2 linked regions of the Callithrix jacchus genome follow. The protein of the gene in region 2 binds, or shares a complex with, the protein of the main gene of each other region. Links are inferred from orthologs where the notes say so. Each region holds a gene or a part of one and is shown on either strand. Other genes may lie near its edges. The genes, in order: POLR1H and POLR1B.

Region 1 (16,164 bases), on a different chromosome or scaffold from region 2:
TTACAGAAAGAAACCAATGGTGCTACTTCCCTTCTCCCTCCTCAACCTGGGAATACTTCAGACATCCCCAAACTCATCCTTGTGTATAGTCTCACGCCCTTCCCCATATGTATAAATGGGCCCATATTTAACACATTTTGTGATTTTGGGTTATTTATTTTGTGCATCTGTGGCAATAAATGAGATCTCAGTGGTGGTATGGATTTGACTGATCTCTGCAATTGTGTATGGCAAGGGCTGGAAAATGAAAACCAGATCCCAGTAAGGGGTAGGGAGGGCCAAGAGAACTGATCATCTGGACTGGTAGAGAAATCAATGCCTAGGAAGTAAGCGGTAAGAGTGTAGTATAGGGGATATACCCCCATCTCTTTGCTCCCTCCCTTTCCCCCCAGGTCCCTGGGACTATATTGGATTTGTCTCTGAAGGTGAAAAACAAAAGGCTGAGTAGATAGTTGGCTCTAAGTGATCAATCTCAAGCCAGCTTTGTCAGAAATCCTAAATCACAGGAGAAGGGTGGGAAGACAGGATATGATTATTTCTCGTTCCATTTTCCATTAGAGGTGAGAATGGCAAGGACCTCTCTCCTAACTCCTCTTGAGGGCATGAAGAGGGTTAGCAAAAGGAGAAGGGCTGGGAGCCCTGAGGTCTCCTGTAAGACCTCATATCTCACAGGCAAGAACTAAGAATTGGATTAACTATTTTAGTGGGATAGCTCTAAACCAGGATTAGCAAGCATAGCTAGAGTGCGAATTCCTGGAATCTGACTGGGGCCCTGGCAGTGAAAGCTGGGATTGTTGAAAACCCAATTTAAGTGTTCACTACTCAAGTTGAGAGTGCAGGGCCAGGATAACTAGATCCCAGGACAGGCAGTTTGGCAGTGAGAACAAAAGGAAGAGACTGGGACCAGGGTGCCTAGATCCCTCGAGAGAGAAGGGTGAGTATTGGGAGGAAAAATGAGGACTAGGGGAACCCAGGAGCCTGGGTTCTGGAATAGCAGCAAGTCAGAATTCCAGGATCTCTGTCCACTCTTCTCTTCCTCTTCCCTCTATCAGGCAAAAGAGAGGGAAGGAAGGGGCTGGAGAAGTAGCCACATGGATACATTCAGGGCCAGACAGACACAGGAATGGTTGGGTAGAGAGGAATTTAGTGCTGCATTGGCCCTGGTGGGGGCTGGGAAGGGTCAGGAGGCTGGGGAGGGGTGGTCGGTCCCAGGGATGCACGACGCCGTCCTTTGCGGTGGCCACGTACACAGTGTGTATGACCACAGCCCTCTTCTTCCTCCTCATCACTTTCCGTAGAGCTCTCACCAAAGGCCCGAGGTTTCTCATAAATACAGCAGCCTGGATTTAGAGAGAGGAGCCCAGTTAAAGAGGAAGGGTAAGATGTACAATCAGTTCCATTTGCACTCAATCTCAGTGAAAATTTCTATTTCCTCTTACCTTCCAGGATCCAGCTCCCCCAGGCCCACCCCTTGGGACTCAGGCCCTAGCCCCCTTGTCCTCTTACAGAACCAAGAAATCAAAGCCCCACTTCTGCCACCTCTGATACTTCTTGCTGGCAGACCTAGGCAAATCCAATTCTAGCCCGTCCCTACCTCTTTCCCTCAGCCCTTAACCTCTTTCCCTGATACCAGAGAACCGCCAAAAAAGTGACAGAATTACAAGCATCTGGGGGCTTCTGGAAAGCCAGTGAATATGAGTAGATACAAGATATGCTGAAGGGAGCCAGAACTCCAGGACTACTGTGGGCCAACAATTACTCACATTTTGATGAGCGGCGGCCCATGTGTTCATTGTCCACAGTGTCACTTGTCCATTCCACCTTTTTCTCTGGCTTCCGTTTCCGAAGTTTGATGGTAAGGCTCCGGTTCTCCTAGAAGGTTAAGGATGGGCGTACCTATCTAGTTCCTTCCTACTGACCTTTCCCACTCCCTCCCAGGGAACCTTTTCTCTTTTCTTCTTTAGTTCAATCAGTACCATAGACATAGCACCAGAGGAGCTGAGACAAGATAAAACAGAACAGGTCTTTGACCTCAGGGAGTCCCTTGAGGAATAGTATTATTTCCTGTTCTTATACCACCAGTATAAGAGGATTCAATTGCTAACCTAGGGAAGGTCCCAGCAACTCTTTGAAGGAAAATATAATCCTTGCTGTTTCTCTGTCTTCCTCCCCAAATCATCCTTGGTAGTATGAATACATGAAAATTATTTTTCGGTCCCCAGCACCTAATCTTTGATTTCCTTTCCTTTTTCCAGATCCCCTATTCTTTTTCCCATTAAAAACAACAACAACAACAACAACTCTCATTCTCAAGCTCCAGCCCTCCTTACCTCTTATCCGCCCATTCCCTTGCATCCTGGCATCTCTAGTAGCAAGTATTACTAATCTATTAATTACTAAACTCCCTTTAATCCAAGAGTATTAAGCCCAATGCAACCTTCTCCCTTTGAAGGAAACTTAACATGTTTTTGGAAAAATACTTCTTGTTTCTCCATTTACATCTTTGCTCTCTGATTTCTCAAAATGCCTGTTTTCATCTAATTTTCTTGTTTCCTCATTCCTGTCACTTCCTTTTACATTCATCCATTCAACAAATATTTATGATAAGTATTGATAATATTGATAAGTTGGCCTTCAACTGTGCTATCTTACACGACCTTTGATTTCCTCCCAACATCTTCCTGGCTCCTTAATCCTCAATTTCCCATTCGTTCATTACTTATACACATAACCCAAGCAGCATACATCCATATCCTTACTGTACCTCCCTATTACGTCTCTTGATCAGCCTCCTGCACCATCTCTGCCACTCCAAATAGCTCCAATACCTTCCGATTCTCCCAGCCCCAGATACCCAACCCCACACCTCCCATATCCCCAGGCCCAGCTCCTCCAGCAACTCTTCTCAGCCCTGTCCCCTCCCTCCCAGTATCTCCCAGACCCCTAACAGCACCGCCCCCCGCCTTTCTCACGGGCTCGGTTGTCACGGTAACCGTTGTCTCAGTGACGGTCTCGCTCAGCCCAGCCCCTGCCTCGGCCATGGCTAAGGCTCAGGAGAGGGATGAGAGGAGGAAGGGGGATAAGACACCCTTCCCTTTTTCTGTCTCTGAGGTCTAAGAGAAGCGGTATCGGATTCAGAGTGGTAGCCAGGATCCTCCACCTTCTTTTTTCCCCCTCCTCTTGGGCCTCCGCTTCTCCACCCCTCGGGATAGCCTGGCCAACTCCACTTCCGGCTCTCTGCTTCCGGGTGTGACGCATTCTGCAGTCCTCCTTTTTCCCTTCCCCGGCACCAAATGCGTCAAAGCGCAGGCGTCGCTGGATTAGTTCCGCCGTAACGTGACAGCGCGCAGGCGCTGCAAGAAAGAGAAACAAATTTGGCGGAAGGGGTATCATTGCCGGTGTCGGAGGCGGGGCGAGAGTCAAGGGCAGCTCGCGCTTGCACAGCCTAGAGGAAGCAGGAGAGGCGCCCAGATGGGTACAGCCGGGCAAGAAACTGCATAGTGGGTGTGACGAGGGCGAGGTGTGTGCACCAGGCTGAGTCCTGCCGCAGTCCATTTACCCTGTCTGGGTGAGTGGACGGGCGAGGAAACTTGAGGAGAAATATAGACCCTATCGTGGCCTATTTCCCTTTCCTTGTTGTTTCGTCTGGGTTTCTCTAATGAAAAAGGAACTTGGGAGCAGTTGGAAACACACTTAAGACTCAAGTGATGTGGGTCCTAGCCCTCGCCTCGTGCCTGTAGGTGTTTGAGCAGGGCAGTTTAGTGCACGTTCAACGTGGGTGTTTTTTTTTTTTTTCCCAGTCACTGTGCTACGCCTTGAAGATGGAGGCGCGTAAGACACTCAGACCCTGACTTTTAGCTCCCACTCTAGTAGGAAAGGTAGGCAAGCGGAAAACTGACAAAAATATGAAGTATTGGAGCATTAACAAATGCCAAGTCTGATCTGTAAATCTGAATTTAGTTACTGCCAACATTCTCTCTGGGGTGATGAGTAGGATGAAGCAGAGAAATGGTCATAAATTACAGTATAGACCGTTTTATAAAGATATATGCACGTTTCTTAAGAGGGCAAAAGAAAGTGGTAAAACAAGAACCAGGAAGGCAGACAAGTAGGTTTTAGAGAGCAGCTTACAAAGTTGTAGATGTGTGTACTACAGGAAATGGAGTTTTGTACTGCTTGGATCTGAGGGACTGCCAGATGAAGCTTGACAGGTAAGTAGTGGTTATATGCAAGGATCTGAATACTTTCCTAAGAAACTTGGGCTTAATCCAGTCAGTGTTATGGGCCAGAGAAAGGCTTAAAGTAGGGTAGAAACATGAATAGGTTTGTTTCAGATTTCAGGAGTGGGTCAGGAAAGTCAACTGCTGCAACAGTTCAAATGTACAGTGGGAAAGACTACCCTACCCATTTTCCAGGTTGCTGTCAAACAAGATAGCTGTTTGAGAGCTCTGAATATATATAAAGGGCCATACAATTATGTGATAATTATTACTGAACCCTTCGATCGCCATTTAAGCCCAAGAATGCAGAACCTGAGTATGTATTTGTTCCCCTTGAAAGTTTTTGGTCCAAACAGAAAACAGCAAGACAGTTCAGCATATCTAGTATAGTCCATTAAGAAAAACCAAACACATATAGCACCACACATATATAGAGCCACATACATATACACAAGCACAGATACACCGTATAATTTGGTTATCTCTGTGGAGTAGGATTCCTTGTGACTTTACTTTTTTCTATGTTACTATATAGGAATCTATTATAATATACAGTCGATCCTTGAACAATGTGGGGATAAGGGGTGCTCACCATTTGAACAGCTGAAAATCCATATATAACTTTGACTCCCCCAAAACCTAACTACTGTTGACTGGATGCCTTACCAATAACATAAACAGTTGATTAACACGTTTTGTATAGCATTATATACTGCAGTCTTACAGCCAAGTAAGCTAGAGAAAACATTAAGAAAATCATAAGGAAAAGAAAATATATTTACTATTCACTAAGTAGAAGTGGATCACATTTTCATGTCGAGTAGGCTGAGGAGGAGGAAAAGGAGGGCTTAAATGTGATGCTATCTTACGGGTATCAGAGGTGGAAGAAAATCCACATAAGTAAACTCAAGTAGTTCAAACCCGTGTTGTTCAAGAGTCAACTGTATATTGTATTTATCTCAGTAATAAAATATCCACCTGTAGTGATCACTTAGTGGTATTATGTAGATTTTTTGTTGTCCAAATTTATATACTGAAGAGATCTGGTCAGAATTTCTGTGAAATGTCTCACTCTCCAAATTCCTAGTTTTTCTTACCCTAAATTCAGGAACCAAATAGATTTAAGTAGAGTGGCAATACTTATAATTGCTTTTTGTTTACATTAGCCTCATTTCTGACTCTACTTTTTTGTCCTTATTTTTCCCCCTTTTCGTTTTCATATATCTCTGTAAACTCATTTAAATTCCTTTTGGAATAAGGTAGATTATAAGTAACATACATATGTCAGGGTCTTATGGAAAAATATAACTTTAATAAGGAAATTCAACTAAAGGTAAGAGTACTCTGGGAACAATGATAATCCCCACATGATGATCTGATTCTCTTCTGGGAGCAAAACATTGCAACCAGATGGGATGGATAAGGCATTGAAGAACCCAGCATCCTTCACTTTCCAAAAGGAGGGAGGGACTGTTGAGTTGTCCAGAAAAAAGGTCAAGAGTCTTCCTTCTCCTGGAACCTATGAGGAAAGAAAGGACTTGTTATATTCACTCAAAGAAGAGTTTCTAGTAGTATAAGATATGCAATTAAATAATCAAGGAAGGACTTTTATTTACGACATCATTGAGGACTAGCTCCCTTAAATAATCCTCCAATTCCAATTCCAAGACAACTAAAAATGCTGGGATTAAAAATATATCCAATGAATTATAACCTCAAAGCAAAGGTTTCTTAGGACACAAAAAGCACTAGCTGTAAAAGAATAAAAAGGGATAAGCTGGACCTCATAAAAACTTAAAACTTCTGCTCATTTAAAGAGGGTTAAGAAAATAAATAGGCAAGCCACAGTCAGGGAAAAAAAATCTTTTTTTTTTTTTTTTTTTGGTAAAATGACAACCAGCGATAGGAAAAAATACTCTTAAAAGATATATCTGACTGTGAATATTTTTAATCCATTGATGAGATGGTGAGAAAGTAAAGGCAAACTTCACACTGGTAAAAGTTATGCAAAACCAGAAATCCAGACAGTGAAAACTGAAGTCCCAATGAAACGTGACACTATGGTGCCCTTAATACTGTTATGACGGTCACTGAAAGCATAGGAAATGAGGGACAAAATGTAAAAGGTCTGATAGGAGATTCCCTGCATAAATTTGGGAACTGCAAAGAGCTGCCCTTTTTTGTAAAAGTGAACAAGAAAAGAAAAAATTCAACTCTATAGAAGGGGAATTTGTCTTAGTAGGCAGGAGAGAAAACTCTCTCCTGAGAATTTCTAACCATAAGCTAACCCTTACGTGGATTTGCAGCTCAAATTCATACTATCTGTCTGCTCCAAAAAACATGAAGCCAAGAATTTATTTAAAGTAATTCCAGCTTGATAGTGCTTCAAGGAAAAGAAATGCAAATGCTGAGAATACAGCACTCACTCAAGGTCTCAAAGAATTCCTACAGTTCAAGTTCTAAAAAACTCAAATTTATAGACAAAATCACAAAACAGAAAAAAGGCACCATGAGAGAGCAGAAACAAAAGACAGCAGCATCAGAAGACAAAATCCATGGATATCAGAATTATGAGACATAGACTATAATAACCATAATTAATATTTTAAATATATAAAGAATGAACAATTTAAAATATGATTAAGGAACTGAAAATTATTTAAAAATTGAGGAGATTTGAAAAGTAAATAGAATTCAAAGTAATAGCAATAATAAAAAATAATATTTAAAATAAACTGAAGACAGAATTAGTGACATGGAAGAGGGACCTGAAGAAATTACCCAGAAGGTGGCATAAAGAGAAAAGCGATTGAAATATGAAAAGAGGGTGAGAGAAATGGAGGACAAAAGAGACACCTCTCTTCTTGTAACTAATTAGAGGTCCAGAATGTGAGGACTGGGAACATGGGGGAAAGGCAATATTAAATGAGATGATAGCTGATAATTTTCCAAGGCTGATTAAAAAAAAAAAAAATTCACTCTCAGTTTCAGAAAGTGCAACAAATCCCAAACGGAATTTTTAAAAAATCACATTTTTATATACTGTAGTGACTGAAGGACACCAAAGACAAAGATGATGTCTTAAAATAATTCAGAAAGCCCATGTTCCCTAAATCGTGCGTGACTAATTTTCTCCAATGTAAAGCTACCTTGACTGCAGTTGAAGACTGCAGTATAAGATGCCGACCACTAAACAATACCTGCTTCTTATGTTTTTTGTTTGTTTGTTTTTTCATTTCCTTTTATATATCCTAAAAGTAGGTCAGACAGGGTAGCTCATGCCTGTAATCCCAGCCCTTTGGGAGGCTGAGGTGGGTGGATCGCTTGAGCTCAGGAGTTCAAGACCAGCCTGGGAAACACAGAGAAATCCCATCTCTACTAAAAAAAAAAGAAAAAAGTGTAATAAAAAAAATAAAAAAAAAAAACCAACCACAAATGTTCTTATTACCAGAACTGCACAGAAATGGGACGAAAGGAAATGGTGGTTTAGAACAACAACAACAGAATCACTGGATTTGTTTAGTTAGCAAACAGACTGAGCAGAGGGAGGGGAAGGGATGCCCACTTGCAGTTGGTACAGGTGTAGAAGACAGTTTGCCCTTCGTCTGCTGAACGCATCTGTCTGGTGTGGTAAGCCATTCCTTCATGACCACATCGAGAGCAGCGCCTGTCAACCTGGGAAGAAACCGGTGGGTTAGGGAGGCCAGTTCATATCCCCTCACTTCCCACAGGAATCAGGCGATCACTCCTCTCAAACATGGATGCTTTACATCTCTTTTCCCTCTTGGACTTGGGCACACAACTCTCCAGATCTCTGCAATCATTCCTCCGTTTCTTTCCTACCCACCTTATGGAGCCAGTCATTGAGCTCATTAACTTACCACAGGTCCCTGGAACTCAGGCCCTTCCTCCACCGACACAGGCATGGCTGTCCCCAGCTGGTGGAACACAACTGAAGTCTTCACAACCTTCCCCTCAAAGTCTGCACAGGCAAGTAAGAACTGGTTATGGAGACAACCAGAGGGAGCTGACACCGGAAACCTCCCCTTTCCCCTGACTGGTTAGGCCAGGAAGCCCTATATCCTTTCCTTCATTTTTCATCTCGAGACCAAATGTACAATTGCCTGATCTCCTGCTCTAGGGTCCCCTGCCGATCTTGAGGTCCCCAAGTTTCCGACCCTGGACCCTCCGCCAGGACCACTGCGTACAAGCCTCTCACCCCGAACGTTGATGTTGAAGCCACAGCGAGTACAGGTAACCGTATCCTGAGCCCCTGGCAGAGGCAGGACCGAGCCGCACTCTGAACAGAAATCCAAGTCCGACTGAAAGCTGGAGCAAGTGCTGGCTAGGTCCATGACGCATATGCGGTCAGGCCTGAAGAGGGAGTTAGAAGTTATATTAACAAAAAGAGAGGAATCCCCCCAACACAGAGGTCATAACAGTTCTGTCCCAGTACCTGGGAGTATATAACCCGAGCTCTCCTCCCACGCACGCCTCCTGCCTCTGTGACCAGGGAGCTGAAACGCCCGGAATGGCTTACCAGCTAGCGTCGGGTAGTAAAGGACTTGCAACCCTTTCCTGGGGCCGGCGAGAGGAGCGAGCCAACTCCATGGGCTAGAGCGGCAGCTCTACGCCCGCCGCTCAGCGGCGAGCTAGAGCCGGCTAGAGCGTCACGCATTCGGGCTGACAATTGGTTGTGACGTCATAAATAATTGCGAACCTTGTCTCGGGAGCCTTAGAGATGGAGCCTAACCTCTCCGAAGGGAGTTTGCGGCTTCACTTTCACCCTAGTGCTGAGACGTTGAGCACAAAATTCGTAGCCAATGCTGCGCTTCCAGCAAATTTTCCCACCAGTACCCAATCCTCGGATATTTATTCTTTGTCTCACATCCTACAGGAACCGAGTCCCGGGAGATATCCCCCTGAAAACTGTATTTTGCTGAATACTGATTTCTTTGGATTAGAGAACTACAACTATCCCTGATCCTGAGCAGGTTTTTCCCTTTTGCGGCTGCAGAGTAGTTAAAAAGAAAGCTAAGTGTTCTGGGACGTACAGTTTTAGTGTTCCTTGGGTCCCGCTGGAGAACGTGGGCTTTCAGCAGAGCGCAACTAGCCTTGTGTGCTTTGGGAACAGTTCGCCGCTTGTAAGGGGTAAGTCGGATTCTTGAGGGACCGCAAGTGGTGAGGGTGAAGTCAGGAGGTACAGGGTCCAGCCCTACAGGGTTCTGTGAGCCCCTCTCTGTTGGTGTGGAGAAAAGAAACCAGAAATAAAAGACATAAGACACAGAGATAGAAAGTTTGGGTGGGGTGGCGTGGGGTGGGGGGGGTTCACTGCCAGCCAGATCGCGGAGTCCGGCAGTGGCCCCGGTCGTGTCTGCGCATTCTGACTTTTTTTGAGTACAAAGCTGAGGGCAGGGTAAGTAGGTGTGGCATTGGTGGTTGGTGGTCAGCAACCAGGGGAAAGGTAGATGGGGCGTAGCAGTGATAGGGTCAAGTACATCACATATCATACAGGTACGGACCCAGGAATTTCTAGGAGCCGGGATGAGGCAAGGAGCCTAATGCGTTAGCACTTTTCCATACTTGTTAAGAAAGAACAAAGACATTAAGTTTATATTACTCTTACTGATTATCTCTTCTAAGAAAATAGGAACCTGGTACAGAAGTAGGACATGAGAGTGGACATGGAATGTGACCACTGAAGCACAGCATCACATAGAGACAAATAAGCCCCCGGATGCCTGTGGGTCTACCTGACAGCTGTCAGGCCTAAGGCAAGAGATTGGAGGAGTGGAGTTTTCGCTTAACTCCCCCGGTGAATGAGACGTCTCAGCCAGCTTTGGACGCCTCCTTCCCTAGCTGGCTCAACAGCGGGCATTTTCTCAGTGCTGACGCGGTAGCACAGCAGAGGCGGCCCTAGTCGCCCTTATGCAGGCATAGCTGCTGTAAAGCGTCTTGCTTTAGGGTCATTGCCCTCACAATGTCACCCCAGGTTCTCACTTTCCGGCCTGAGACCTGAGAGGCATTAGTAAAAGAATTAAGATCACCTATAAATAACTAAGATCACTTGTGAATAATTAAGCCATCACTATTTTCTCTTGTGAAGGACAGAAGCTGTAGTCTTTCGTTGGAAGAGGCTCCCATCTGCCTTTCTCTGTAATGGAGAGAACACCATAGCGAAAGGGTTAAAACTCAAACTGCTGAAGAATGACAAGGCCTATCACTTAACTGTGAAATGGCTTGTTATTTTGTCTTGTCTTACAAAGGGAGATGTGTTGTTGAGCTGATTGTCATAGGCAGTTTTTATTCTCACTTATCTGTGTGTCTGCGTCCTTTGTCAATGGAACTTGAAATTAGCCTTCTGCCCTCCTCAGTTTTTTTTTTTTTAATTTGAAAAACACTCAGCTAACATCCCCTGTGAATTTCAGTAAAGGAACAAAGCATTACAAGGCATATCCTTTTCCCAAGAAAAGCTCACAATCAAAGTATTTATTGAGCAACTATTCCAGGTTTTGAGCTGAGGCTGCGAAGTTGAAGTATGTGTTCTCTGACATCAACGAACATGAATGAATAATTATGATACAATAAAAGTGTGCTAGTAGGTACAAAATGTGAGAGCCCAGAACATGCATATAAAGAAAACATGTCTGTAAACTTCAAGGAGGACTGGGAAATGATTTAATAAAAAGATAGATACAATGTATGGCAAATATTTAAAAAGATGTTCAGATATGTGTCAAGGATCATCAGCAATCAACAAAGTCATTAATTTTGAGAACTTGGGATCACAGACTGTAATGTTAAGTACTGTGCTAGAAGCCATGTACAGAGAAGTAAAAGTAAGATCATACTTTTAAAATCTCAAAATAAGCTTACATAGGCAAATAAGAATGTTCCTAAGAGGTGAGTGAGACCAAATATTTGATATCAAGTCCTTTCCAATAATATAGAGGCATCACAATTGTAGATACAAATTACAGTTTTCCACTCATGAGCCTAAATCTCAGCATCAAAATGTTAAAAGTGATATATGACTACAGATATCAGTGTAAGTCATGATTAATTTTCAAATGAGTTATAGAATTAAAATATGCCAAGTGTTTAGAGGAAGGGAAAATCACTGTGACAGAGTAGAGCAGAAAGACTTTATAGTCAGGAGCTTGACCTGTGAAGGACAGATAGAATTTATTGAGAACTTACCAAGCTCTTTACCTTGAATTCATAATTGTTCTTTATAACACTGAGAGGCAGATTTTTGTCTTACGTCTCCATTTTATAGATGAGAAAACTGACAGAATTTACATGCCCTGAGTTTCACACCTAGGAAGTGGTGGAATTAGGATTCAGATCTAGCCCTGTCAGACTCTAAAGCCCATCCTTTGAGCTGTAAATGGTATAAAAGGCACAGAGAGGAAATGCCAGGCATCCTCAGTGACTTAAATATGACCTCACAGTAAGCTCAGGTTTGACCAGGGATGACACATAAAAGTTGATAGTTTTCATTTGTGTTGCTACCAGCCTTCTCTACAAATAAACCACAAATTCCCATCCTGAGGAGTCTAACAGGGAACAGTTTCATGATGGATTTAGGGTAAAGGATGATTGGCGTTGGAAGGCAGGCAAGCAGAGGGCTGGGCAATCAAATAACAACAGAATTTCAGGCTGGGCACAGTGGCTCATACCTGTAATCCTAGCACTTTGGGAGGCTGAGGCAGGTGGATTGCCTGAGCTCAGGAGTTAGAGACCAGCCTGGGCAACATGGTGAAACCCCATCTCTACTAAAATACAAAAAAATTAGCTGGGTGTGGTGATATGCACCTGTAATCCCAGTTACTTGGGAGGTTGAGGCAGGAGAATTTCTTGAACCCAGCAGGAGGTGGAGGTTGCAGTGAGCCGAGATGGCGCCACTGCACTCCAGCCTGGGCAACAGAGCAAGACTGTCTCAAAAAAAAAAAAAAAAAAGCAGAATTTCAGAACAAAAGATTAGAGGGCAGAAACGCTGTATGTGCTGATAGAGGCAGAGAGGGCTTGGATCAAGAAACTACAGAAAGAGAAAACTAGAAACCTAGAATCATCTAGAAAACTAGGACCTAGAATCATCTCAGAACACAGAGGAGGCTTGAGGACTGAGCAGTCTGACACAGATGTACTTGGACAACACCTCAATAAGGAGCATGTCTCTTCCCACTCACAATCCCCAATACAAGATTCACAGTGGTTCACACTGAGTCCACAGGAAAAGTATCCTTGTTCATGTGAAAGGAAAGATCCTCTTTTTAGAAGAGCATTCATTATTTTCCACCACAGGAATGCACTGGTTTCCCATGGGGGCAATGGCCCTGCTGTAGTCCTGCCTATTAGCAACTTTGTTCTGACACCTCCTACATTTTAATTTACCTTTGTTTTTTTATCTTCCAGATTGGCCTGGGCTACTTCATCTAAAGATCCTAGGATTGCTGCAGGTCAGCAGTCTCCACTGGAGAAAAAGATCTTGGTAAGTAAACTGTCTTTATATTGTACAGTTTAGAACTACACAGAGAAGGAATCTTAGGTTTAAAATCCTTCTGCCCAAGTGACGCATTCCGGTAGTATGTCTACACTGGCAGATGTTTCCCAGCTATAGCCACAGTTGCAAAATAAAAAATCATTTTGAAAACTTCGAACACCATGCATTTTTTAAACTAGTTATTGATTTGTGGTAGTGAATACTTCATGCTTTCAGAGCTCACAGGCTCACCTGCGAGTGATGGGAATAAAAATAATAATTATTGAGCTAAAGTAAAAGAGCATCTAGCTTTTCCTGGTGTCAGTAGGGAGGGTGGGCTTGGATCTTGTTTAAATGTGTTCTCAAAGGAAAAAGATGATCATATCGTAAATTCCTAACTTCACTTTGACAGAATCTAGGTGGTCTGCATACAACAGCAGCAAGACGGTTGGTAGCTCAGAAATATCAAGATGAGTATGTAACACTCTGTAGGGAGAAAGCTCTTTCTCTTGACTACTGGTTGCCAAAGCAGAGTCTTTTCATCATAAAAGAATACTGGAAATGATGAAAGAAGAGACTGGCAATGAAATCAAGAAAAAAATGAAGGGGAAAACAACCCAAAGCACAGGACTAAAACAGTATTATTTGGTACCTGAGAGAGAGATGAAACACATAGAAAGGCACATACATCATACAGGACAGGCTAGAAAATCTAAGAACAAATCACTTAGACAAGTGCTACAACTCCCCAGTGAAACAAAATTACCAAAAATTATGCCAGAAGGGCATGGCATCCAGAATGCACAGAGAAGAAAGCAGGTAAATGAGAGGAAACAGATGCAAATTTAGGATCACCAGGAACGCATGATTCAAGGGAGAGCACTTACAGAGCAAAGACTCAAGGAAAGAATCTTGAGAAGAAGCCAGAGCCAACTACCTACATGTGAGAAGCATGAGAGAGTAAAGAAAGAGATAAAGGAGTTGGAAAGAGTTATTGCATATCCTCTTTTCCAGCCATGCAGTAGAAGTCGGATTAAGGTGAATATTCTTATGGAAAAGTCTCAGGATGGAGAGAAAGTGAATACAATTATGAAACCATATCAAAGAGAATTCTTGACCATGCCACCCTTTTTAAGAAGTCAAATGGGAAAAATAAGAGATTAAACTTTCAATGCTGTTATGATAAAATTATATCTCTTATGTGAACCTTTTTCTTTTTAAAATGCTCATTCTCATTTCTCCCTGGGGTTCAGTGAATATTTCCGTGTGTATCAGATATATAAGATAGTTCTGGGCTGGGCGCAGTGGCTCAAGCCTGTAATCCCAGCACTTTGGGAGGCTGAGGCGGGTGGATCACGAGGTCAACAGATCGAGACCATCCTGGTAAACAAAGTGAAACCCCGTCTCTACTAAAAATACAAAAAATTAGCTGGGCATGGTGGCGCGTGCTTGTAATCCCAGGTACTCAGGAGGTTGAGGCAGGAGAATTGCCTGAACCCAGGAGGTGGAGGTTGCGGTGAGCCGAGATCGTGCCATTGCACTCCAGCCTGGGTAACAAGAGCGAAACTCTGTCTCAAAAAAAAAAAAAAAAAAAAAGAAGATAGTTCTGGACTTGAAAATTAGCTTAACTATTTTTAGTTGATTTGCATTTGTTCAAGTTTTATATCCTTTCTAATGTTCAGCGCCCCTGCTTTTTTTTTTTTTTGAGATGGAGTCTCACTGTGTCACCCAGGCTGGAGTGCAGTGGTGTGATCTCAGCTCACTGCAACCTCCACCTCCCAGTTTCAATGGATTCTTCTGCCTCAGCCTCCCGAATAGCTGGGATTACAGGCACCTGCCATTACACCAGGCTGATTTTTGTATTTTTAGTAAAGATGGGGTTTCACCATATTGGCCAAGCTGGTCTCAAACTCCTGACCTTAGGTAATCCACCCACATTGGCCTCCCAAAGTGCTGGGATTACAGGCATGAGCCACAGTGCCCAGCCTCAGTGTCCTCATCTTTAAAGTGGCAATAGTAATATTTGCTAGCATTTTGGAAAGACGATTGTTTTTGTGAAATGTAAGTATATATTAGTTGTTTCATAACTATTAGTTTCCCCACTTGGGAAGACTGGTGTTGGGCAATGATGGTGAATGAAGAATTGTTCTAAACTGCTTCTTTTATTCTCCCTGCTCCCCAGCTCTCCAAGGGTTATTTTGATGAGATTGCTATCTTTTAGTATATTGTCTTTAATATCATACCTTCATCAGAGAACTACTAGCCAGGCCCTAAAAATGTAATTTGCCCCATACAAGTTATTTGTATGAGAAACTTAGAGAGCCTCCTACATGCTTTTCCCTAGGCATTGTATTAGTTACTGAAGGTGAATAAAGAGAAGTCTCTGCCCTTGACTAGTTTTCGTAATGGCATAGATCACTCTACAAACATAATGTAGTAAAGGTTGCCATAGAAAGGTACAGGGTGCTGTACAAAGGACGGATTCTAACCTGGCTCAGGTGAGCAGGGTGAAAAGGAGAAAGGTTAGAGAAGGGAGTGTAATAGTCTCTCACGTTCCTTCCAGCTCTTTTTGTCACTTTCTGTCACCCACTTAAGCAAGACCTTCCTGATGTTTGGACCTATTCAGGGGTAATCAAACTTAGCCTTTCTCAAACTCGGGCCTCCAGCACTCACTGATAAATCAGAAAGTAAATTTATAAATTTAAGTGAGAATTACACTTGTAAAGCAGAATGAAATTTATGTTTTCTAGTCAGTTATTTTCTTCCAACATACCAGAAAGTTGGAAAAGCAGGGATCCAGAGTAGAGGAGCAGAGATGCAAATACATGGAAATGGATGCCCTCAGGAATATTATGCTTAAGTTGTGATAATTCTGATGTCCACTTGCTTTACCAGCAGAACACCCTTTACCCTGGATATTGCGAGGTCAGCCGCTGTTCAATAGAACTTTCAGTTATGATAGAAATGTTCTGTGCCTCTGCTCTTCAGTACAGTAGTCCTCGCTACATGTGGGTATTGAGGCATTTAAAATGTGGCTAGTGCAGCTGTGGAATGGAATGTTTAATTGAATTTCTTTTAAATTTAAGTTGCCACATGTGCGAAGTGACTGCTTTGTTGTACAGTGTGGCACTGGATAAACATAACTCCTGTGTTCTAGACTCTGGCCAGTCCCACCAGTAGCTTACTGTTTTTGACAGTGTTTGCTGGTATGATAGGTCACTATTCATTTTACATTACTGTCAGTTTAGTTTCCTTTATATTTCAGAGGCTCCCTAATCCCTTCAAGAGATTTAAAAATCAAGATAGACCACTTCTGTGTGAAAATAAGAGGGCTGAATTTGCTTTGATTGGAATTAGGAACTGGCCCTCTCTTTGCTAGTTCTGGAATTTGGCCAGGATGCATATCAGAATCTCAGTCCTACCCTCCTGATTTGCCTCATGTAAACTTTGCTGCTGTGT
Region 2 (15,965 bases):
CTGTAAAATAACTGAAGCTATGAATTTAAGCAAACTTCAAAGTTTTCCTCCAGGACAGAGTCCACATCTTTTAGCACTTTATATCCCTCTTAAACTGTGGAGTCTGGTCAAGACACGGTGTTTGATCTAATAGTGCCAATGGAGAAAAGTAGAATTTTAGATTTTAAGTTTATTTCAGTTTCAGGCAAAGACTGCTAAGACATACCACTATCAACTCAGGCAAAAGAAAATGACTAGACATTCTGACATGCTCTTTTTCTAGGTACAGTACGTATTACTACAATTAAAATCTGATTTTTAGCTCAACTATCAGGACAAATTGTTTAACTTTCAAGGCAGCTCAAGAATGCAACATGCTATCTTAAGCACTGTCACAGAGAGTGCTCAAACAGAGGCCAGGTGGCTGTCAGACAGAGACCCTGAGGGGTGTGCCACAGTGGCCTGAACCTGAAGACATCTAAGACCCACATTCACCTATGGCCAAGGCAGACTAGCCTTCATCTTCATAAGCAATAACAAAAATACACATGCTCTTTCAGTTTGCACAGGTAAAACATAATAGCAGGTTTTCTACCGTGAAATTTTTGTATTTTTTAAAATGCTTATAATTGATAAAAATCATATATATTCAAAGTGGACAATACCTTGAATATACATATACATGTAATGATTTCCACAATCAAACTGATAAAAACATCAATCACCACCCATAGTTATCATTTGTATGTATGCACGTGTGTGTGGTTGAGACACCTAAAATTTACTCATCAAATTTTAAGTAAGCAATACGGTATTACTGTCGTCACCAGGCTGTACATCAGATCCCCAGAACTTACTCGTCTTGTAACTGCAAGTTTGTATCCTCTGACTAACATCTCTCCATTTCTTCTTCCATCCCCATTACGAAAACTTAACACAGGAATGCTCAGTAGAAAAAAACAAAAAAAAACCCAAAAAACAAAAGAAAGCCCAGGCATGGTGGCTTACACATGTAATCTCAGCACTTTGGCAGGCTGAGGCGGAAGGACTGCTTGAGCCCAAGAGTTCGAGATCAGCCTGGCAACATGGTGAAACTCCATCTCTACAAAATTAGCCAGGCATGGTGGCACATGCCTGTGGTCCCAGCTACTTGGAAGGCTGGGGTGGGAGGATCACCTGAGCCTGTGAAGGTCGAGGCCATGGCGAGTTGTGATCACACCACTCTGCACTCCAGCCTGGGTGCCAGAGTGAGACTCTATCTCAGGAAAAATAAGAAAAGAAAGAAAAAAGAAAATTATCAAAGACTATTTAAATGCATCTACTTAAAAAAAAAAGGTTTTAAATTTTCCTTAAAAAACATTCTAGTAATCTCCAGAACTTACCATACTGAGTATAACCAGGCCCTCTGGTTTTCCATTTTGGTCTTATCATTGCAATGGGAAAATTTCTCCGAGGCATAATCAACATTCGGATGACCTTTTCAATGCCATTGATTATAAAATAGCCCCCCATTTCCTACCAAAGAGATAAATTACAATTTGTTAAACAAAGATACATGACTGTAAACATGAACCTCATTCCTAGCCCAAGGCAGTACAACACACAGAACAGGAGCACAGAGGTGAAAAGTACTACTGATCCTTTGAGAACACAGTACACAGACACTGCCTTTGTGTGAATTAAGTTTTCTCAAGTAGATTACAAAGGTCTGAGGGACATGGAGAAAAGTATGGAAGAAAAACAGGGTACTTCTATTAGACAGGCTCAACCTAACTTGCTTTTCTGTCCCCTAAAATGATTTCAGTCTTCAAATAACACTAAAAAAAACTTACTCCAAAGAGGTGTCAAAAGATAAAAACGGTAACCATTTTGCTTCAATACTCGAGTATGGTTTCCCAAATAAGTTCAAAAAAATACTTTTAATAGCTCCACTCAATATTACATTTTTGTAATAAAGAGCTACTATTTAAGAATTGCCTGCTACGAAACAGGCTTATTATACTAGATGCTCTATGTCACCATAACACTTAATTCTCATAACAATGAGTGGGATAGCTATTATGCCATTTGCAGCAGAGGAAACTGAGGCTCAAGGAGATTAACCTCCCCAACCACATGACTGATAAGTGGAAGAGTTGTGTGTCAAATCCAGATCTGACACCAAAACCCTCTTCCCGCCACATAACACCATCTGCCTCTACTGTAGGCACAGACTGTATGTCTTGATTACCTCAGTGCAACACTGCAAAGCCACCTAATACAGCTGAAAGAAATGATGAAGGGAAGGCATGAGTCATTAAATATGCACATAGAATCTTACTATTATTAAAGCAGACATTTTAATTTTGTTTTTAGTGATGGGGTATCACTCTGTCTCCCAGGCTAGAGTGCAGTGGCACAATCACGGCTCACTGTAATCAGGCCTCCTGGGCTCAAGCAGTGCTCTTGCCTCAGCCTCCCAAGTAGCTGGGACTAACGGTGCATGCCACCACCATGCCCAGCTAAACAAACATTTTTGCCAATAGCTTTGTTGGTTAAGACAGCTTGAAAAAAACAAATTTCATGGAAGTATATCTTTATCATTCAGAAAAACCTACCAATTCTTCCCCCAACCAATAATATTCTCTAATTTTATAGCCACTTTTTCATACTGTCTAATTTGATGCCATTCAGAGCCATAGCCTGCGTGCAGGCACGATACTGATATCTCTTTCACCTATCCAGAAACTGGAGCAGAGAAAGAAAATGTGGCCCCCACTGACACACTTCTTGTCTTCCTACTCCCAACTCAGGCCTTCTCTACTGTCTCACACCTGGATGTCCGTGATTACCTCTGCCTCCTCATGGTGCTGAATGAGGGCTTGTGGGGGAAGGTTGTGTAAGTTGCAAAGCTTGGACTTCACCATGATGGGAACATAGCCCAGAGACTGCTTAATGATTCCTTTTGAGATTCCATTCACTGCCCAGTTGACATCGACCTAAAAAAAATGAGAGACAAAATTACTTAACAGAAATATCTGCACCTGAGAAAACAAATGAGTATTTTCAAAGAATGAGGAAGATCAATTAAATGATTTTATGCCTTAGATTTAGAAGGTGGGATCTCTTAGACAACAGCATCATGAAAGCAATTTCTGGCATAAACTTTATTAGGCACCTGCCCTAGTCCCAAATATGTGCATTGTGAGGGTACTCACTGTCAACTTCCCACGATAGGTACTCCTTCGGCCCCGGCATTCTGCTGGATAAACACTGGCCTCTTTGCAGATGGTCCCTTTTGGAACTGTAGGTGGACTGATAACAGCATCCAGAATAGTGAAAGAGATACGTTGATCTTTGAAAGCAAATTCGAAGGGAGGTATAGCCTGAAATGCAATTCACAGTATTAAACTGTTTGCATTTCCAAGGCACTTTTTCTCTAAGACTCTTCCAAATCTTACATGTTCTACAAACACTGGTACCTGTGATGCTACCATGACACACCTAAAAGACAGTTAAGGCTACCTCCATTCTACTTATAACTTCACTAAATGCATAAAGCCACAATGTATTATTAGCTCAAGATTTTATTTGAGTACCTACTATGTGTCAGAGACTGTAGCAGGCTCTAAGGATACAGCTATGAACAGAACAAAGCTCCTGTTCTCCGAACCAAGAGCCTTGTGTATTCTTACCTTGTCTATGTGTGTAGCAAGACAAATGAGCTCTGCTGCTAATAAAGCAAGGATATGGAAACAACCTTTAGGACTTAAGACTAGATGCTTAATGTACAATGGTTACTTCATACTGGAGCCAGAGCCATGAAAAGGAAAAGATGGTGGCCAGCGGGGGTTTCCCCTTCCACAGAAGTTACTTCTTTGCACCACTCTGTGGAGGAAGCTTTGCTGTTCTGAGGAAGAGGGGTCACCAAGCTCTCCTACATATTCATTGCAGGCAACCTCCTAGCCTTAGTCTTAGAATAATGAGAATGAAAAGAATGGAGCCAAGAAAGAATACCAATGAGGTTCTCCACCCTCACGAGAGTTAACTGACCTTTTCTAAATATTTAAATTTTATCTAAAGCTGGTATTATTTTAGAATTTCATATTTTATTAAAAAAAAAAAAAAGCCAGGTGCAGTGGCTCACACCTGTAATCCCAATATTTGGGAAACTGAGGCAGGGGACTACTTGAGCCCAGGAGTTCGAGACCAGCCTGGGCCACATAGGGAGACCTTGTCTCTACAAAGAAATAAAAATAAAAAAATTAGCTGGCCATAGTGGTGTGTGCCTGTGGTCCCAGCTACTTGAGAAGTTGAGGTGGGAGGATCACTTCAGTCTGGAAGGTCGAGGCTGCAGTGAGCTATAATCATGCCACTTCATTCCAGCCTGGGTGACAAAGTAGATCTTGTCTCAAAAAAAAAAAGAATGGAGTATTAGTTTAAAAAAAGAAAGATTACAGGATTTGCTTTCTCAAGACACAGCTGCACTATTTAGATCTAAATACAGTGAATTGTTGTCATTCACAATGTTATGTTCTATACAGTTGCCATAAACACTGAATTAGCCAATACTGAACCACTGCTCCTAGGGTAAATACATGGGTAGCTTCCTGTAAGCCTCTGGTCACATTTCATCAACTAATCAACACACAATCTCGCATTATGTATGTTTCTGTTTAAAGGCAGCCTATTTAATATATATTACTGAGTCCCTAACTCAGGCTTGAAAAAAGCCTATGTTAAATGCATGTATTAATATTATCCCCAAAAGGCACAGCTTGTGGGATAGGAACTTTATACAGAACTTTAATACTTTGCTTGGGGGCCATTTTAAACAATAAAATCCCCAACAAAAAGCACAAAGAAGGCACTAAATAATAGTGAAGATGACCCCTGTTTATAGTTTATAAACTTAAAACAAGAAGGCCGAGCATCACCTTGTTGGATCTCAGCTGGAAAAATGGATACTGAACAACTCAACTTTTTCACTGCTTCTGGGCACGGTGCTTTTGCAGTACAAGTAAATTTTAGTGAGTGGGTAAATTTGCAAAGATAGACTCCCCAAGTAATAAAAATCAATTGTATTTTGAAAATATTTTGAAAAGACAGACCCATAAATTCTGACTCACAAGAGGAATTCACTCCAAAGAAAGTAGGCAAAATTACATTTTGTAAGTACATAAAAATATGATAAAACTTTTTTTTCCCCTTGGCTTTATAAATAGTAGTCATTTACTTTACTGTGTTTTACAGAACATTTTCAAATATGTTATTATTACAGTCCTAGATAAGTTGTGACATTATTTTCTGTGCAGGGCCAAATTTTCTTCATCTACTTCAACCAAAACAATGTATCACAAGGAGCTGAATGCAGAAGCAGACATGAGAATCCAGCTGTCTTTTCATTAAGCCAGACATTAAAAAGATTTTTAATAATGCAATTCATCTAATTTCTTTTTTGCTCTGAAAAATGATTTTCATAAAAATGTTAACATACAATTGGTTTATTTTTATTTCTGTTTATTTATTTATTTTTGAGACAGAGCCTTGCTCTGTCGCCCAGGCTGGAGTGCAGTGGTGCAATCTTAGCTTACTGCAACCTCCACTTCCAGGGTTCAAGCGGTTCTCGTGCCTCGGCCTCCCAAGTAGCTGGGAATACAGACATGTGCCACCATGCCCGGCTAATTTTTGTATTTTTAGTAGAGACAGGGTTTCACTGTGTTGACCAGGCTGGTCTGGAACTCTTGATTGACCTCAAGTGATCCGCCTGCCTCAGCCTCACAAAGTGCTGGGATTACAGGCAAAAGCCACCACACCCAATCAATTGGTTTATTGATTGATTGATTGATTGATTTTTGAGATGGAGTTTCACTTTTGCTACCCAGGCTGGAGTGCAATGGCGCGATCTAGGCTCACCGCAACCTCCGCCTCCTGGGTTCAGGCAATTCTCCTGCCTCAGCCTCCTGAGTAGCTGGGATTACAGGCATGTGCCACCATGCTCAGCTAATTTTTTGTATCTTTAGTAGAGACGGGGTTTCACCATTTTGACCAGGATGGTCTCGATCTCTTGACCTCGTGATCAACCTGCCTCGGCCTCCCAAAGTGCTGGGATTACAGGCGTGAGCCACTGCGCCCGGCCCGAATTAGTGCTTTTCTAAAATTTCTCAATTTGATTATCTTTTTTTTAAAGACAAGGTCTCGCTCTGTTACCCCAGCTGGAGTGCAGTGGCACAATCATAGCTCATTGCAGCCTTGAATTCCTGGGCTCAAGTTAGCCTCCCACCTCAGCCTCCTAAGTAACTGGGACCACATGTGCCCACCACCATGCCCTGCTATCTTTTAACTTTTACAGAGGACGAGGTTTCACTATGTTACCCAAGCTGGTCTTGAAATCCTGGCTCAAGCCATCGTTCTGCCTCGGCCTCCGAAAGTCCTGGGATTACAGGTGTGAGCCACTGTACCTGGTCTAATTAACTTTTAATTAGGTATTTTTTCTCACAGACATGATACTCTAAGAATCCAGGCACAATACATACAAATATCCCCACCACTCTTGTCTTCCCAAAAAATAAATTTTAATGCCTCCCGTATTATTTGCGGAATAGAGTTCAAGTATCAGACTGGCAATCAAAGCTCTTCACATTATCTCTACCCGTATCTCTCACAACACAAATCTTACACAACAAAACCACAGGTAGGGTCCCCTAAGCATGTGACTCTGCTCTACTCTTCCCCTGGACGGAATGCATGTTTCTCACCTCTTGAACTCATCTAATCCTGCCTTTTCTCAAACTCCTGGACTAGTTGCGCTGCCTATATGCTCCCACAGTAGCCCATAAAATCCCTTGACAGAGCAGTGCTCGCGTATTGGCATGGACTACTTTCCTATCTTCACTCCTTTAACCCCAAAACACGACAGGGACCACTTAAATGTATGAACTGTCTCTTACACGGGACTGCGGCCTTCACATCCTCAGAGCCTAGTGCCTAGAGACACTGGGGATACTTACTAAACGAAACTTTCCCCCACCATCCTCACCTCAATTCTGCTACCATTACCCTACGCTAGTAATGCTATTACACTTTTCGATTCAATCTTGCCTTTACGACTCATTTATACCTTCTTTAGCACCTACTTAATTCAGAACAAATGAGTAGTTTCTCTCTTTAAAGCTCTAAGAAAAGGAAACTGAAGGATAACCTTGTACATTACACTGTACCTACAAATACGTTCAGAATATTTTGAGGTACGTTTTGGAGAGGTGTCTTCAAGTGATACAAAGGCATGTGCATTGTGAATGGTTGGGAAGCACACCCCCAATAAGCCATTTCCTCACTCTCACAGAACCCAGAAACTATCCAACAAGAAACTATGGTTCGCAATCACTTTTCAATCCAGAAATCACGAATACATCTCTTAGACGACTCGAATACACGTTCCACGAGGCCCAGCTCTGCGTCTTGTTCAACACGTGTGCTCTCCCGCTTACCCTCTGAGCCTGTCAGGATCAAGGAGCAAACGCATTTTGGGTCACACTGTGGCCTCTGAGCCATTTCTCTGGGACCCTGTCACCGCCCGCGCCCCACAAGGCCCAGACCTCACCCCCGCCCCTCCCTCCTCCAGCTCCGCCTGGCCCCTCTCGCCCGCCAGCCTCGAGCTTGGTCTCTCCGCGGCAAGGGCGCCAGTGGATGCCGCACTCACCTGCACCGCGAGGCCGAGACCCTCGTGCACAGCATAGTTGAAGGACTCCACATGAGCCCGCGTCAGCTCCTGCAACGCTGCCTTTTGCTGTTCCCGCGGGATTCCATAAGACGGGTCGGTCAAGTGCTTTAGGCTAGGCCCATTGGGAAGGTTTCGCCACCGGCTGCAGGGATCCATGCGGCTACTTGCACACCTAACACCCGTCGCTCAGTACGCGCCGGAAGTAGTGGCCGGAGTCCCGCTTCCGCAGCCTGCTGGGAAATGTAGTTCCCTCTTGTTCCGCCCGCCCTAGGCCCTACGGTTTTTATGGGGTCGACGTAGAACCAAAACCGTCGAGTGAACGGGCCGGTTAAAGCTGTATCCAGCCAGAGCGTGGCGGGTCCGCCCCTTCTCCCATCTTCCGCTCCACGCATCTCCCTCCTCTGCTAAAGAAGGCGAAACCCACTCCTCACCCAGTTGAGCGTGTGACCTCTTTGGCTCTCATTGGCTCAGTCAATTAGGATTGGAGGTAAGCGGTCTTCTCAGGTTCCCATCTATCCGGTCCCTTAACCTGTTCCAAGTCCCACGCTGATGCCGACCCTGGGGAGTCATCCGGACAAAGTCGTTGTTTCAATGAAAAATCGGATGCCGGGCCCCGGGCTCTTTACCCAACTCCTAAATCGCGAGGCTCACCCCTGGAAGGCCAAGGTCGGGCCCGCTAACCTCCCCGCATCGTCTGGACTGGAGTCCTGGGGGAGGCCCGGGGAAGGAGGTGGGGTAGGGGTCGGGCGGTCTCAGATGGAGAGGCTGTGGTAGGGGGGCGTCCAACATTTAGTACAATGTTGAAGGGACAAGAATAAATATACTTGTTTTGTGCCTGATGTTGGAAGAAAGCTCCCAACTGGAGCATTCACATCACCATTAATATGATGTAGGCTGTGGGTTTTTCCAAAGATGCTCTTTATCAAGTTGAGAAAGTAATTTATTTCTAGTTTGTTGAGAGGTTTTCTTCCCAAGAGTGTTATTGCCAAATGCTTTTTCAGTGTATATTGAAATGATCATGTGCTTTTTGCTCCTTTTTTCTACTAAAGTGGTATATTAAGTAAATTTTGTAAGTTAAACAAGCTTTGCATTCTTTTTTCCCCTTCTCAACGTTTATTTTAGAATCAGGGGTACCTGTGCAAGTTTGTTACAAATGTATATTGCGTGATGCTGAGGTCTGGGACACGGTTGAACCTGTCACCCAAGTTCCAATAGGTAGTTTTGTATCCAATAAGTAGTTTTAAACCTTTGCTCCCCTGCTTCTCTCACTGCTCTAGTAGTCCCCAGTGTCTGCTGTTCCATCTTTATGTCCATGTGTACCCAATGTTTAGCTTCCACTTTTTAATTTAATTTTTTTTTGAGACAGGGTCTTGCTCTGCCACCCAGGCTGGAGAGTAGTGGTATGAACTTGGCTCACTGCAACCTCCTTTTCTCAAGTTCAAGTGATTCTTGTGCCTCAGCCATCAGAGTAGCTGGGATTACAGGTATGCGCCACCATGCCCAGCTAATTCTTGTATTTTTAATAAAGATGAGATTTAACCACGTTGCCCAGACTGGACTCAAACTCTTGGCCTCATGTGATCTGCCCACCTTGGCCTCCTAAAGTACTGAGATTACAGGTGTGAGCCATCACCCCCAGCCTAGCTCCCACTTACAAAAGAACATGTGTTATTCCAAACATTGTAATCTTAGGATAAGTCATAATGTATAATCCTTTTCCTATGTTCCTGGATTTGGTTGACTAGTATTTTGTTGAAGATTTTTTCTATTTGTATTCCTAAGAGACTATTGGTATGCTATTTACTTTTCTTGTGACATCTTTGTCTGGTTTTAGTATCAGAGTATTAAGAGTGAAGTCATAAAGTTAGCTGAGGATTATTTCCTTCTCTTCTATTTTTTAGGAAAGTCTGTGAAATATTGGTGTTAATTCCTTGCCATCTGGTCCTGGGCTTTTCCCTGTGGGAAGTTTTAAAGGAATTATTATTAGTCGGGCCAGGCACGACTAATAATACACCTGCAATCCCAACACTTTGGGAGGCTGAGATGAGAGGATCACGAGGTCAGGAGATTGAGACCATTGTGGCTAACACGGTGAAACCCCGTCTCTACTAAAAATACAAAAAATTAGCCAGGTGTGGTGGTGCACACCTCTAGTCCCAGCTACTCGGGAGGCTGAGGCAGGAGAACCACTTGAACCTGGGAGGCAGAGTTTGCAGAGGCAGAGCTGAGATTGTGCCACTGTACTCCAGCCTGGGCGACAGAGCGAGACTCCGTCTCAGGAAAAAAAAAAAAAAAAAAAAAGATTTTCATGCTTTGTAGGTAAAAAAGGAAAAAAAAAAGGAATTGTTATTAGTCTGACCTTCTTACTTGTATATTTCTTCATTAATACAGAAATTAACAAAATTTGTTATTGATTTCTGATTTTATTCCAACATAGAAAACATGTATAGTACGACTTCAATTCTTTTAAATTTACTGAGACTTGTTTTTATAGCCTAGCACATGATCTACCCCAGAGAATGTTCCATGTGCACTTGAGAAGGATGTGTATTTTGCTGCTGTTGGGTGGAGTGCCTTGCAGATATTTGTCAAGTCTAGTTGGTTTATTGTATTTTTCTATTTTGTTGTTGATCTGCCTAGTTTCTCCAGTTATTACTGAAATGGAGTTTTGAGGATTCCAACTATTGTAGTTAAATTGCCTGTTTCTTCCTTCAGTTCTCTCAGTTTTTACTTCATGTATCTTTAGGCTGTATTGCTTGGTGCATATGTTTATCATTGTCATATTTTCCTAATGGATTGATCCCTTTATCGATCTAAAATGTCCTTGACATACAAGTGGCCAGGAAACATGAAAAAATGTTCATCATCACTAATCATCAGAGAAATGCGAATCAAAACCATAGCGAAATATCATCTCACACCAGTCAGAATAGCTATTATTAAAAAGTCAAAAAACAACAGATGCTGGAGAGGCTGTGGGAAAAAAGAGAATGCTAATACACTGCTGGTAGGAATGTACATTGGTTGAGCCACTGTGGAAAGAAGTTTGGGGATTTCTCAAAGAATTTAAAATGGAGCAGCCAGGCATGGTGGCTCACACCTGTAATTCTAGCACTTTGGGAAGCTGAGGTGGGTAGATCACCTGAGGTCAGGAGTTCGAGACCAGCCTAGCCAACATGGTGAAACCTGTCTCTACTAAAAATACAAAAATTAGCTGGGCATGGTGGCACACACCTGTAGTCCCAGCTACTCAGGAGGCTGAGGCAGGAGAATCACTTAAACCTAGGAGGCAGAGGTTGCAGTGAGACCAGATAGCACCACTGCACTCCAGCTTGGGTGATAGAGCGAGACTCCATCAAAAAAACAAAAATAAAAAAACAGAGCTACCATTTGACCCAGCCTCCCATTACTGGGTATATATCCAAAATAAAACAATTCTTTCTACCAGAAAGACACATGCACCTATATGTTTATCACAGTGCTATTCACAATAGCAAAGGCACGGAATCAACCTAGCTGCCCATCAGCGGTGGATTGGATAAAGAAAATGTGATACACACACACACACACACACACACACACACACACACAGTGGAATACTGTGCAGCCATAAAAAGAATGGAACTATGTCCTTTGCAGTAACATGGATGGAGCTGGAGGCCATTATCCTAAGTGAAATAACCCAAGAATAGAAAACCAAATACCACATGGTCTCATTTATAAGTGGGAGCCAAACATTAGATACACATGGACACAAAGCTAGCAACAAGAGACACTAAGGACTACAAGAGGGAGAAAGACTACAAGAGGGAGAAGGGAGGAAGGGGAGCAAGGACTGGAAAGCTAACTATTGGGTACTATGCTCACTACTTAGGCAATGGGATCGGTACCCCAGCCTCAGGACCCATGTAACAAACCTGCACATGTACCTCCTGAATCTAAAATATAAGTTGGAACTATATAAAAAAAAGTCCTTCTTTGTCTGTGGGAACAACTTTTTTCTTAAAGCCTATTTTGTCTAATATTAGTATAGCCACTCCAGTTCTTTGAGTTACTGCTTGCATGATGTATCTTTTCCCATCATTTTACTTTCAAGCTATTTGTGTTTTTGAATCTAAAGTGTGTTTTGCCAGATGTATTGACTGATGCCTGTAATCCCAGCTACTTAGGAGAGATTGAGACAGGAGGATTGCCTGAGGCCAGGAGTTCAAGACCAGCCAGAGAAACATAGTACAACACTATCTCTAAAAAAATTTTTTAAAGAGATATCTGCACTCCTATGTTGATTGTAGTCTTGTTTACAGTACCCAAGATTTGGAAGCAATCTAAGTGTCCATTAGCAGATGAATGGCTGAAAAAATACATAGTGCTTATACACAATGGAGTACTGTTCAACCATAAAAAGAATAAGATCCTGTCACTTGCAACAACATGGATGGAACTGGAGATCATTATGTGAAATGATAGCCAGGCAAGTTTTGAAATAAGTCAGGCCCTATCTCTAAAAAAAAATTGTTTTAAATTAGCCAAGTATGGTGGTAAGCACCCATAGTTGCAGCTACTTGGGTGGCTGAGGTGGGAAAATTACTTGAACCCAGAAGTTTGAGGCTGTAGTGAGCTATCATTACACCACGGCACTCCAAACTAGGCAACCGAGCAAGACTCTGTCTCTAAATAATAAAAATAAAATGAAGTGTGTTTTTTTGTAGCTAGCACATAGTTGGATCATGATTTAAAAAAAATCAATTTGCCAATCTCTACCCTCTGATTGGAGTGCTGAATTCATCTGCATTTAATCAAATTACTGATAAGGCAGGATTTAGCTACCATTTTACTGTTTGTTTCCTATGCCTCTTTTTTCTCCATTTTTTCATTGCTTCCTTCTCTTTTCTTAAATAGATATTTTTTAAGTGTAATATTTGTCTTGTTTTTTTTACTATATATTTAAAATTATTTTCTTAGTGGCTGGTGTGTCTTGAGGTGGACTCTGAGTCTTTCCTACTTAGAATTTTTTGAGCTTCTTGGATTTACTTTAATGTTTTTCATCAAAATGGAAAAGTTTTGGTCACTGTTTCTTCCAATATATTTTATCCCATTCCCTCTCTGTCACTTCTCCATTCTACGACTCATATTATATGTACATTGGTATGTTTGATGGTGTCTGACAGGTCTCTGAAGTACTGATCATTTTTCTTTGCTGGTTTTTTTTTTTTCTGTTCCTCAGACAGGATCATCTCAAATTCTAATTCACTGATTCCTTCTTTTACCAGTTCAAACCTTTTTTAAACTTGTCAAGTAAATTTTTCATTCATATTTTTGTACTTTGCAACTCCAAAATTTCTACTTGGTTCTATTTTATAAACTTCCCACCCTCCCTCCCTTTTATAAATTTCCCTCTCTCCCTCCTTCCTTTCCTTCCTTCCTCCCTCCCTCTTTCCCTCCCTTTCCCTCTTTCTGCTTGCCTTTTTTTTCCTTCCTCCTCTCTCTCTTTCACTTCTTCCTACTTTTCTTCCTCCCCACCCTTCCTCCGCTTCTGTCCTCTCTTTCTGCTTGCGCAGACCCTTAAGGTCAGACAGATGTGAGAGCTAGACAATTCTCAGGTCTCTTTGGGCATGTGCACAGCCATACACAGGCGTGGCCTCTGTATCCTTAGGAATAGGTTGAAGCTTCTCGAAACATCTTATTGACATCTCATTCCCAGCTTTTCCTTCTAAGTCTTTTGTCAGTTTGTTTGTTCCAAATGTTACTTCCAGCCACCTTAGGAAGTTGAGATGTTAAAGAATTGCTGTTGATTTTTTCTGACAAATGCACCCAGGGAAAAGGTTGTTCACACTGGGTAACCTCTTAGTCACATCAAATGAAGACAAGACCTAGGAGTTGACACTTACCTGGAACTACCAAAAAGGTCAAATGGCAATTCCCTGGTAATGAGGCTTTGGAGGAGCTCCAGTCCCCTTCTGAGCCCTACAGTGGTGGCTCGGTTGCTGGATGTCACCATGATTGTGTGGCCAAGGCTGTTGTGGAGCTTGGGAAAGGGGGAGTGTGAATAGGTTGTATTAAAATGTCAGAAACCTCTTCTTACCCAGATGCAACCCTTTTCTTGAATAAATGGATGGCTGCAAGCCTCTGGTTAATGTCTAGACAGTTTTGCTAGTGTTGTCATTGCTTTAAGGAAGAAAGGGTTTTCAGAGGTTCTTACTTTATTATTCCTACTGATGTCCTCTCCTGAGTTTTAAAAGGAATTATGCTTGCAACAGTCTTTAAGTTGTGCTACTAAGTACTGCATTGGACAGCAGTTCATTTTCCTTTGCCTTTAGGGATTGCTATGGTTTGAATGTGTTCCCCACAGTAAATGTGTTGGAAAGTTCATCTCTATTACAATACTGTTGAGAGGTGGGACTTGTAAGAGGTGATTATTAGTTTATCAGAGTGCTCCTCTCATTAATAAATTAATGATGTTATCCCAGAAGTGAGTTGTCACAGGAGTGGGCTGCTGGTGAAAGGATGAGTTAGACTCCCTTTCTCTCTTGCCATGTGATGCCTTGTGCCATGCTATGAGGCAGCAAGAAGGCCCTCACCAGATATGACCCCTTAATATCAGACTTCTCATCCTCTAGAACTGTGAGCCAAATACACTTCTCTGTAGCATTCTGTTACGGCAATACAAAATAAACTAAGATATGGAGGGATGCTTTGGGGAAAACACCTTTTTAATATTACTACACCTCTGGGCTATGGGAGAACTTAAAGTTAAGAAGGTACAGTTACTGACAGCAAGTGGGTCCAGTCTTTAAGAGAAGTCCTCCAAAGGCTTTGGACCTGTCAACCCTCAGGCTCCTAAGTAGCTGCCTGCCTAAGTCCATGTCTGCTTGCCCCCTGCACCCTGCACATACAGTCTCTGCTGGGTCCAGTGGGAATGTGTCATCCTGTATGTGAAACCTGTTCAGAGTGAGGTGCTTATACCAGGCCTTCTGGCATGGAAACCTCCTCTGTGCCAGAGGTAAATTTATGAAGTAGAAGCAGCCACAGAAGGCAGGCCAGCCATACAAGGGAAAGATGTCCAAAGCATTCAGCCTTATGGCACAAGAAGTTACAGGTTAATGACAATTTGCATTAATGAAACTCTATCCACAAGACTAAGCACCTGAAGTGTGTGAGGTTTGTAGATATTTAAAAACCTGGCCTCAGTGAAATGCTTTGTAAGAACTTCTTGGCTGTCTGGCTGTATGAAGCAGCCTGACTTCAGAAGCCTTTGCAGCTCCACCCCAGGTGTGATACACGTACAACTCTCCTTCACAACTACAGGCCCCACTTAACAAATTGTATCATGATGCAGACAATACGCAAGACACATGAGAAACGATGGGCTGGGACTCTGGCAGCTGAAACTGTCTCAGTGCTTCACTGAGCAGGTCCTCAGTTTTGAAGGACAATCTCTTCATTTATGTATCGGGTAACATCCTGGGGTCAGCAAATTACTGACACATTTGGCTTGCTTTTATATGGCCTAAGAGCTAAGAAGAGTTTTTGTATTTTTTAAGAGTTGGAGAAAAAAAGTACACAACAGAGACCCTATATGGCTTGCAAAGCCTAGCAGATTTACTGTCTGGTCTTTTACAGCAAGTCTATTTACCCCTGAGTAATGGCATCATGGATTTTTATTTATTTATTTATTTTTAGACAGGGTCTCGCTCCATTACCCATGCTAGGGTATAGTGGTGTGAACATGGCTCACTGCAGCCTCACACTAGAGCCTCAAGCGATCCTCCCACATCAGCCTCCGAGTAGCTGGGACAATAGGCATGTACCACCACACCCGGCTAATTATGTGGTGAATTTAAATGACCAGTGATATCCTAGGGACAGTCAACAAGAACCAAAGGGCACAAAAACACTTGAAATATCATTACTTTACTTTAGTGTTTCAGGCATTTTAAATATTCATACAGTTGCCTTACTTCAGCAGTCATTTCCTCTCCAGTACAGATTTTGTGTCCAGGGTCAGTCATGTACATCATTGAATTTTCTCTACAGCACCCACATGCCACATGGAACCCACTCTGGCACCCATGTCTTTGCTAGTAGAGCCTCTCACCACACCCGCAAGAGGGCTGGACCTCCTCCTGCTTGCCACAGCCTCCACTGTGAATGAAAACACTTTGTAGCTTCAGTCCCAGTACAATTCCAGCACTCCCAGGTGTTCCATGTATGTGGCAATCATCCCACAGAGCTAGTGACACACATGTCAGCTGGTACCTATGCCAGCACCTGCTCCACTACATTA

Evidence for each region.
Region 1: POLR1B (region 2) and POLR1H share a complex: the UniProt entries of both Homo sapiens proteins name them as parts of the pol I pre-initiation complex. The link is inferred for Callithrix jacchus from reciprocal best matches to the Homo sapiens genes POLR1B and POLR1H.

The regions. Positions count from the first base shown.
Region 1 is NC_133505.1:34,792,629-34,808,792, reverse strand, and holds POLR1H (DNA-directed RNA polymerase I subunit RPA12), read right to left. Parts: upstream 8,875-16,164; 5' UTR 8,832-8,874; coding exon 8,761-8,831; exon of another isoform or gene 8,595-8,760; coding exon 8,440-8,594; exon of another isoform or gene 8,362-8,439; intron 8,203-8,361; coding exon 8,102-8,202; intron 7,896-8,101; coding exon 7,786-7,895; intron 5,740-7,785; coding exon 5,715-5,739; 3' UTR 5,513-5,714; downstream 1-5,512. Other genes in the region: E3 ubiquitin-protein ligase PPP1R11, read right to left, coding at 961-1,045, 1,249-1,340, 1,764-1,872, 3,161-3,555. UniProt on the Homo sapiens protein: Core component of RNA polymerase I (Pol I), a DNA-dependent RNA polymerase which synthesizes ribosomal RNA precursors using the four ribonucleoside triphosphates as substrates. Can mediate Pol I proofreading of the nascent RNA transcript.
Region 2 is NC_133515.1:22,050,009-22,065,973, forward strand, and holds the start of POLR1B (DNA-directed RNA polymerase I subunit RPA2), read right to left. Parts: upstream 7,870-15,965; 5' UTR 7,838-7,869; coding exon 7,661-7,837; intron 3,345-7,660; coding exon 3,177-3,344; intron 2,958-3,176; coding exon 2,811-2,957; intron 1,495-2,810; coding exon 1,362-1,494; intron 1,235-1,361; exon of another isoform or gene 837-1,234; intron 1-836. UniProt on the Homo sapiens protein: Catalytic core component of RNA polymerase I (Pol I), a DNA-dependent RNA polymerase which synthesizes ribosomal RNA precursors using the four ribonucleoside triphosphates as substrates.